Linked DNA regions of Caenorhabditis elegans. The protein of the gene in region 1 interacts with the protein of each later gene in a biochemical or structural test. Each region holds a gene or a part of one and is shown in the gene's direction. Other genes may lie near its edges. The genes, in order: F46A8.3 and famk-1.

Region 1 (3,275 bases):
AGGATTGCAATATCACATTTACTTTTAGTTCGAAACGTCAAAATTCATATATTATTGAAAAATTTAAAATTAAAATCAAATTAACAAATACTATTTTAAAAAATGTATTCCGTGACCAACCACGTGTCTATTTTTTTGTTGTTTACTTCAAATTTTCCAAATAAATCGATAATCAAAAAATCGAATCTATAATCAATTGTAATCATTTCCCAATAACACTACCTGCTTATTAAACAAATCAACTGATGGCGGAGTGTATCGATTCACTATTTATCTACAACATATTCATAATGATAACGGTAAGCTGCTACAAAAACTACAAAACTACAATTACTACAAACTACTTTCAGAGTGGAATCCTGGTCATGTGCTTTTGCAAGAAGAAGCCTCCTAAGAGCCAGTGTCCTGTGCGACCAATGACGATGTCGATGAGAGAGGTGACTCTAATTTTGTAGTTTGCAGCCTCTGAAACCGTATTTTTTCAGGCGCAGGTATCTGATGTGGGGCCGGACAGCACGCGGACAGCGATGGACAATCAGAAAAAGAGCAAGAAGAAGAAGAGCAAGGAGCCAGCCAAGAAGAAGAAGAAATCGGCGGATTCTTCGCAGAAGGTCTCGAAGAAGAAGAAGAAGTCGAGCAAATCGAAGAAGTCGGCGGAGAAGAAGAAGCCGGAGGTGGTGGCACCAATGGACCCGGATGTCAAGTCCACGCAGAGATCAGCGGTGAGTTTTTGGCCTTAGAATCTTAAGCCTAAGCCTAAGCCTAAGCCTGAGCCTAAGCCTAAACCTGAGCCTTAGCCTAAGACTAGGATTAGGCCTAAGCCAAAGGCTAAGCCTAAACCTACGCCAACGCCTAAGCCTAAGCCTCAGCCTCAGCCCAAGCCGGAGCCTAAGCCTACACCTAAGCTTTAGCCTAAGCCCAAGCCTGAGACTATGTCAAGGCTTTAGCCTAAGCCTAAGCCTCAGCCTCAGCCCAAGCCGGAGCCTAAGCCTAAGCCTAAGCATGAGCCTAAGCCTAACCCCAAGCCTAAGCCTAGGCATAAGCCTATGTTCAAGCCTAAGCCAAAGCCTAAGCTTCAGCCTAAGCCAAAGCCTAGCTTAACCCAAAAAAGTGAGCAAAAGCTGTTGTTCATTTACGATCTCTGCACCCAAATTTCATTTTCAGGAACGTAGTGAGCAGCCGGATCAAACGGCTCAGTGAGTTTTCCCAAAATCCTACAGAAAATCAAATTTCCCCCAAAATTTCAGAACAAAAACCGCCAAAAGCGGCAAAGATATGGCACCAGCCCAGACGCCTGCTCAGGATCGTAAGTTGTGTAGGAGACTACAAACTACAATCCGATTTTTCAGAAGGTCCCCTCCGATCCCAGCCTGTCGGGCTTCCAATGGCACCTGGTATCAAATCGATGGCGGCATTCTAGAATTGAACTTGATTAATGAAATAAGTGATTCTTTGTGAGGGCTACAAACTATGAACTTCAAGGCATTTAAGGCTATTTTCGGCCTATTCAAGATCATTTGAACAGGACAAAAAATTTTCTGAACTGTAATTTTTTAGTACTTAGTCAAATCAAAATTCAATAGTTACCGTATATAAATGGTCTAAAACAGTGTGTCCTATAAAATAGTCGAGTTTCTTTTAAACTTTAAAATGTTGACGTATAATAAAGCATTGCCGATATAACCGTCAAAAGTCACACATAAACTTTGAGACTGAAGTCGGCAAGCTATAAAACATGCTTCACTCCGCTGAATCTTCAAAAGTTCCTTTTCAATGAGGCTTGTTTTTCTACTCCTCACCTTTCTGGTGCTAGTTTCTGGGTATTTCTCTGACAATGACAGAAAAAAAGTTAAGAAAATATCTATTGTCCACTATGATTCAACATCCTCCAGTTCCTCTGAAGAACATCGTTATAGGCCACGTGGTGGGAAAAGGCCTAAGTTCGACGATGATTCCTCCGATGATTACAGTGGACGACGTGGTGGAGGGCGGCAAAGACCTCCAAGGCCTCCAAGGCCTGCACCAACACCTAAGCCTAGAGAAGACTGGATAACGATCAATGGACCATTTACAACCACTCTACCTATTCCTGGAGGATATTGGGATACTGGGAAGATCATGCGAATATACGGTATTCCTGGAAGCGGAAGATGGACCATCAATCTGGCCAAATCACAAACTTGGGTGTTCCATTTCGCGTGTGAACCTACCAAGGGACTTGTAAGTTTTGCTTTTGTAGGCTAGACGCCTCAGGCTTACGCCCCTCAGGCTTTGGTCCCTCTTCATTAATAGTTTTTTAGGTAGCCAGAACCCGACATACGAATGGAGCGTGGGAAGTCGGAGAGACATATAGTGAAAACCCATTTCAAGCTAACACCCAATTCAATGTTACTATGGTCAATCAGCCAACGCATATTGAGATTCATGTCAATGGTGCATTCTTTGTGAACTTTAATCATCGAGTTCCCAATCCATCCAGAGACTATCAAGGAATTGATTTCCAGTTTGTTGCTATCTCGAAAGTGGAGTTTTCACGATAATTTGAATAAAGAATTGTGTTGCATTTGATAGAGATTTGGATTATTTGATATGGAAGATGGTAGTTTGAAACTTTAAGCTTCAGGGTTTAGGGCCTTAAATCTCTCAAACTTATTGATGTTATAATAATATAATAAGTACGGTATAATATCCGGCTAACACAATAAACACGTCTATCAGACTCGTAGCCTTTTTTGAATCAGTAGAGCAACATCGGAAATTCTGAATTTCCACAAAACTGTGATTATCACAAAGTATGAGATTACCAAATGAGCTTTCAAAAAATGGATCTTGAGATTATTTATTAGAAGTATTATACATATATAATACCAAAAATATATATCAAAAATATATCAGAGGGAAATATTTAGAATTAAAGAATTAGTCAGATTAAAGAAAGGGAAAAGAAGTTGATAATATATCATCGAATTAAATCGATATTGAGGTTAGCGTGAATCATGTGAATAGGAAATGAAGGCTAAAATTTTGGTTTGAATCATAAGGATTAAAGTTCACATTCAATTGTGTACGATTTGACAAAAGCTTTAACTAAAAGAAGGTCTTAATGAGTTTAATACAAAATTTTTGCTAAAAGTTGGAGAATTATAAGAAGTATGTACAGACAAAAAAACATAGCTCTGTTTATTGATATCTGAAATTGCGTTCATCCAAAAAACGCTGGCAGTTAAAGAGAGAAGTATAATAAAACGCCGCTCGTAATCAAAAATACATAGAAG
Region 2 (6,434 bases), on another chromosome or scaffold:
AATTAGAATTAGTTGGCATTATATTTAAAAAGTTTAAACATCAGTTAACTGTGTAATCAATTTTTTTCTTCATCTTTCTTATCATATAGTTTTTGTTTTGCTTGAAATTTGTTTTTCTCTGATATCATCATTCTGACTACAATTTGAGAAAGATTATTTTTTCTTGATCCAATGTTTTTATTTTATGGTTAGAAAATAGAAAGAAAAAATCTTTAAATTTTGAATCAGATTTGGAATTAAAATAGAAATATTGAAATTTCAGATTCGTACTTATTTTTCATATTTTTCTCTCTATGTGCAATGTTTAAAAGTGGAGTAGCGCCAGTGGGGATTGTTTCTAAATAAACCTATAATGATCCAAAACGACCAAATATCATAATCAACCACTCCTTTTTTTTCCGGACAAAGTTCTGGAAAATTGACAAATTTTTGAAAAATATGAGCTTTTGAGGAAATCCAAAGCAATGTCGTATGTTTTGACTCTTACAATGTTTAAATCCAAATAAATAAAACAAAATTACAATATAAAAAATGCAGAAAAACAAATTTTTTTTTGGTCGAAATCCAAAATTATGAGTGGCAAAAACTGAGTAATTGTCACTTTTTGACAGTAAATAAAAAAATTTTGAAAACTTTTTTGAAAAGTTTTATTATGATATTCGGTTATTTTGGCACCATAGGAATGGTTTTTAACAATTTCCCCCTGGCGCTACTCCACTTTAAGATTTTAAAAGCTTATGTAAAACCACACGTTTGATCGTAAAACGTTTAAGCCTAGTTTATTTGAGCAGTAAATATATCTGCATGGGAGCAAAATTGATTTTAATTATGAGTTTTTTTTCAAATTAGTAACAAATTAACAAACTTGAATTGGTCCGATTTATAAATTTTGATAAAATAAGTGTTGTTTTTCCAATTAAAAAAACTATTTAGTAAAAGTATTGTCGTTGATTTTTCCTCGTCGCTAATTGAAATTTCCTGTCAAACTTACAGTTTTTGTTTAATTTTCTACATAAAATATTCTCAAAAGCGAACCAAATTTTCTGTTTTTTAAACGGATAATAAATCAAATTTTGGTGCTCATCTCTTATTAAAGGCTCATAATATACATATAACGGATCATTTCTAGATGTGGGATATCAAAAATCTCAATCTCGTTCTCCACCCTGACCACATCCCAAATGATGACCCAGCTAATTTTCCAAAAAGTCCCATTTACCACCAATAAGTTCGGTGACGCAAGGTGGGCAATCCTCCGTCAATTTCTTGCTTCCCAGCACTTTACGAGCAAACACACACAGCGACTCTGCCGAAGAAACGAACCACACACACCTTTGACGTTCCCAGGCCCTTCCCTCCACATCATTCGCCGATGTTTACAGCCTCTTCGCCTCTCCAATGTTTTGTCGTTTTTACAATATACAAGGTGTGCGGGTCTGTCAGTTTAGGAGTGGATGGAGGAGGAGGAGGTGGTTGATGGCGTGCGTGTGGTGATGTTTCTCGAAAACAGTGTGGCAGTTTCTTTTTCTCTCCCCCCACTTGCCCTCTTCTGTCCATTAGAAGAAACTTTAATTGAATTTATAGGACTAGAATTGAATTGTAATTGGTATATATTGCTGGAGTAAATTATTAATTAATCGCTTTGATCTCTTGTTTCCTCATTCTACCCCATTATTTATCTATAATAGCTTATGAACCTCACCCCATAAATGCTCATTTTGCAGTGTCACAAAACTGGGAGCCGGCGTTTGATGAAGCTGAAACCAGCAAAGAGCAAGAAGTGAGACGAGAAAAGTCCAGAAAGACATGCGGTGCAATATAAAGCGATTATTCACTTTGGCGATCGGAGTTTTTGCGGCTACACTGGTTATAATCTCGTTTTCCAAGGACAACTATGAAAGTAAGTTCTAAAATTGTATATGTGTTGTTTATTGGTTGAAAATGATTATTTGAATTCGCTAGAAAGGAATAGTGGCGATAGCAATCGATAAAACAAGAGAGAAACTATGCCTAAATGTGGCCTATAACATGTGGGAGTTTTGTGACAATTTTGTCTTTATTGTCTATATGAAAATTTAGATCAAATCTCAATTTCCGAAAAAAATGGAAAAACTTTAGACATCTTTGAATACTATTTTAATCAACACTTTTCCACAAAAGTTTTTATATTGTTCCTAGAAAAGTATTAAAAAAGTAGTAGAAAACTTTTTGACAATGACACGTTGGAAAAAATTACAAAAAAATGTTTATGAACTTTGTATTTTCTTGAAAATCTGGCAGTTTGCCAAAAATTTGATTGCAATTTTTAATAAGTCTGAAACGTTCTACATATATAGATTTTCGTAGTTTACCCATTTTGATAATATTTTTACTAGGCCTATTCGAACTTTATAATATTAAAGGCGGAGTAGCGCCAGTGGGGATATTGTCTAACTACACTAATAATGATCCAAGAAGACCGAATATCATAATAAAACACTCCAAAACATTTTTAGATTTTTTATAATTTCCGATCAAAGTTTTGGCAAATTTCCACAGTTTTGAAAAATATGAGCTTTTGGTGAAATCTGGAGCAACGTCGCATGTTCCGACCCCTGCAATGTTTAAATCCTAATAAATAAAACAAAATTAAAGCGTAAAAAATGTAGGAAAAAATAATTTTGGTCGACTTCCAGTATTATAAGTGGCAAAAACTGAGTAATTGCCACTTTTTGACAGTAAATAAAAAAATTTAGAAAACATTTTTGAAAAGTTTTATTATGATATTCGATCATTTCGGCATTTTAGGAATAGTTGTTAACAATTTCCCCACTGGCGCTACTCCACCTTTCAATTATCTCTCTTTTCTAACAGTTCTTATGATAACTATATTTATTAAACTCTGGGCCTGTATGACTAAGTTGATAGTTTTAAACAAACCATTCACAAGGTTTCTCCTAAATAATCTTGCATCCATTTTCAGGAGAATGGAAACAAGGACCTCAATCAAACGAAGCACGAGCTGTAGGCCACCAGAGTCCCGACTTGTTTCCAGTCGGACAAAATAGTCTACCACACCAGCCAATTCCTCCAAGCCTTGGCGAGAAGGATCTTAGTGATCCATTCAACTTCTTGTTTTCATCTAACAAAATCACTTTACGCAAACTTTATGATCTCACTAAAAATGTAGATTTTGATCAGTTAAGGCAGAACGAGTGCAAGAAGAACATCACGCTTTCAAAGTTCTGGGAGAAGTCTGAACAGTAAGTTTTATATTTTGAAATTTCAAAAATTGAAAATGAAAATGAAAATTTTAACACCAGCTGCCAGCAAAAAAAAATCTCATCACTGTTTCAGGAGAAATGTGCCGGAAGATGACAACTGGGAGAGGTTCTACTCAAACATTGGAAGTTGTTCGGTGTACTCGGATGATCAAATGATTGACAACTTGCTGCACGATCTCAACACAAGTCCCATCAAACACGTGCACATTATGGATGGAGGCACTCAAGTGAAATTTGTGTTCACCTTCAAAAACGATAAGCAGGCCGTGTTTAAGCCGATGAGGTTTGATGAACAGAGAACACCGGAAAATAGTTGTTTTCTTTCTTTTTCAGATTTGGACGCGATTATGAATCGGATCCGAATCATTTCTACTTCAGTGATTTTGAACGACATCATGCAGAAATCGCAACTTTCCATTTAGACAGGTTAGTGGATTAAATAATGGATTTGTTTTTGTTAGAGATGGTTATCAATTTTTTTTTTTAAATCGGTCAGTTGAATTTCAGAGTGCTCGGCTTCCGACGAGCAATCCCCACCGTTGGACGAGTTCTCAATATGACAACTGAGCTGTTCGAAAAAGCAGAGAAAAAACTCAAGAAGACTTTCTTCTTCTCTCCAGGTACAGTTGACATCAAGACACCAAACCTGTTCACCACATCAATTTTATAAAAATAATTCCAGCCAAAAACTTTTGCTTCGTGTCACGATGCGATTATTACTGCGACACGACACATGCAATTTGCGGTCTTCCTGATATGAAGGAAGGCAGTGTGCAAGTGTTCTTACCCGACGAGTCAGCAGTTCCTCGGAAGCATAATAGGAGTCCGTATAGACGGTAGGTTGAAGGCCGATGGATAATAAAATAGCTAGCAGACTGTTTTCAGAACCTACTCGAAAAAGAATCAAGTAGCTGAATGGCAGTCGAGTATGAATTATTGCACGGATAAGGTGAAAACCAAGCGACAATATGCTCATGGAAGAAGGTTACTTGATCTGGTTGATATTCATATTTTGGATTATTTAATAGGTAAGAATTTGCAGTTGTCAAATTTTGAACATAAAAAACCGGTGGTGTTTGCACCCTCCGAATGGATGGTAAATATAGAATAACTGTACGGAATTTTTTTTTCGTATTTCTGACAGTGCTACGAGTATTAAAGTTTCATAACTGTTCTGTATGAGGAGAGTAATTGAAAGACAGCAACTGTACAATATAGAATTTGCTGCTCACAGTGCTTTTTATGGACCTCGTTCAATGTCGGGTGCACATTTACCACAAGTTTACTAACATTTTATTATTAACCAAAGACTAAACTACAAACATCCAGGAAACCAAGACCGTCATCACTTCGAATCCTTCAACGTGTTCAACGATCTTCCTTCCTATGCGATCCATCTCGACCATGGTCGAGCATTTGGCAGATCTGACTTTGACGATGACGACATCATTCTCCCGCTCCGACAATGCTGCATCCTACGTCCATCCACTTTCCAGACCCTTATGAATTTCTACAGTACACCAAAGTCACTGACGAAAGCCCTACACGAGTCATTATCGAAAGATCCAGCCCATCCGATTTTGGCTTATAAGCATTATCCGGCAATGGAAAGGCGGTTAGCAAAAAGTAAGTATTGAAATTATATTGAAAGGTTACCGAAAAACCTGAAAAATATTTTCCTGTGAAAATTCCAATTTGGGAATACAAAACTTAAAGAAAAAAAAACAATTTTCAGTTATGTCTCACATACTGGAATGCTTCGAAAGCCGGGGAGTTGCCGAAGTTCTAGTTGCCGAGTACAACAACCCCGATGTCTCAGACGCCGAGCAAAACGACGAAGAGCAAAGCGAGGAGCATCAGGATAAGAAGGATGATAAGAAAACTGTTTAGTCGTCATTCGTTAGGTCTTCTCAATTTTACCAAGGTCATGTAGTAGCATTTTAAATTTCCCTCTTAAACTTCAATGTTTCTTTGCGTTGCATTCGGGTCTCGAGCTTCTTTCACTCTCTGTTATTGTTGTATTTTTTCTTTTCACTTCCCCCCGTTTTTTAAACCCACAAGAAGGTATCCCATCCATCGCTCCACGGTTTCTCTCTGGTCAAACATTCATTTATGAGGGTCATATTATGTAGGTCAAATCAAAAACAAATCGGTGTTATAATATCGAAAAAATTTCTCGAAGAATTTGAAAAGTAACCTGATAGTTGTTTTGTGTAGAATTTCTGTTGAATATTATGATTATATATTCTCAGCTCTTTTTTTGTCATTTCTTTTTTTTTCCTATTGAATATCATACTTCTTTTATCAAAAGACGCAAACTTACTGGGTATATAATTCTCGCTGAGCAATGTGGCTGCAGTGCTCCATTTCTTGTCAAATCGGTTGTTTTTTTTTCTACTTTCAGGACGAATCATAAATGTTGTGATTAAATTGTTCTGTGTTTTTTTTTTCATTTCCAGTACAGGAATTGTTATTTTCAGAGATCAAGTTTCAAGGAATTTTTTAAAATTTTTTTAAAAAAATTTTAGTTTCAAGTAATTAAAATTTTGACAAAAAGTGGACCCTAATGACCGAATATAACTGTTCAATATTGCTAACAATTTTCAAAATTTCAAAAAAAATTTCAAAATTTCAAAATTTTTTATGATTTTTCAACTTTGCAAAAATTAAAAAAAGCGGCCAAATTAAATTTAAATTCCCGCGCAAATGAGTGACGTCATTTTCAATATTTTCGCGTTTTCTGGCTTAATTTACCAGGTTTCCTTGATTTCATCTTCTGCATTTGAGTTAAAATTCTGTTAGTCAATTTTTCGAACACTTTTCTTTAAAAAAATATTATAAAAAATATTAAAATTGTCGATTATTAGGTTGATTTTGAAATTTCCGCTTTACGGAAAAGTAATTTAAAAATTGACAAACGGTGTTTCTAATCAAATGCTAAAGAAAAAATCATGAAAAACAAATGCATTCAGCCAGAAAACGAAAAAATATTAAAAATGACGTCACTCGTTTGCGCGAGAATTCAAATTTAATTCGGCCGTTTCTTAGATTTTTTTCAAAATTGAAAAAATCATTAAAACATTTAGAAAATTTTTTTAAATTTTTTTACAGTTACATTCGGTTATTTTCTGTCGTTTAGAGCGAAAAAATTTATGAATCTACTCCACCTTT

Evidence for each region.
Region 2: of the proteins of F46A8.3 (region 1) and famk-1, one has a biochemical effect on the other in vitro, tested with the Caenorhabditis elegans proteins (one study listed by BioGRID).

Annotation. Positions count from the first base shown.
Region 1 is NC_003279.8:11,242,019-11,245,293, reverse strand, and holds F46A8.3 (Galectin), read left to right. Parts: upstream 1-1,769; 5' UTR 1,770-1,773; coding exon 1,774-2,220; intron 2,221-2,300; coding exon 2,301-2,540; 3' UTR 2,541-2,557; downstream 2,558-3,275. Other genes in the region: F46A8.6 (uncharacterized protein), read left to right, coding at 291-437, 486-722, 1,165-1,196, 1,248-1,458.
Region 2 is NC_003284.9:15,208,550-15,214,983, reverse strand, and holds famk-1 (Extracellular serine/threonine protein kinase CeFam20), read left to right. Parts: upstream 1-1,724; 5' UTR 1,725-1,751; coding exon of another isoform or gene 1,752-1,784; 5' UTR 1,785-1,806; coding exon 1,807-1,900; intron 1,901-2,962; coding exon 2,963-3,242; intron 3,243-3,336; coding exon 3,337-3,546; intron 3,547-3,596; coding exon 3,597-3,689; intron 3,690-3,770; coding exon 3,771-3,883; intron 3,884-3,945; coding exon 3,946-4,099; intron 4,100-4,148; coding exon 4,149-4,291; intron 4,292-4,592; coding exon 4,593-4,889; intron 4,890-4,998; coding exon 4,999-5,153; 3' UTR 5,154-5,695; downstream 5,696-6,434. UniProt on the Caenorhabditis elegans protein: Golgi serine/threonine protein kinase that phosphorylates secretory pathway proteins within Ser-x-Glu/pSer motifs.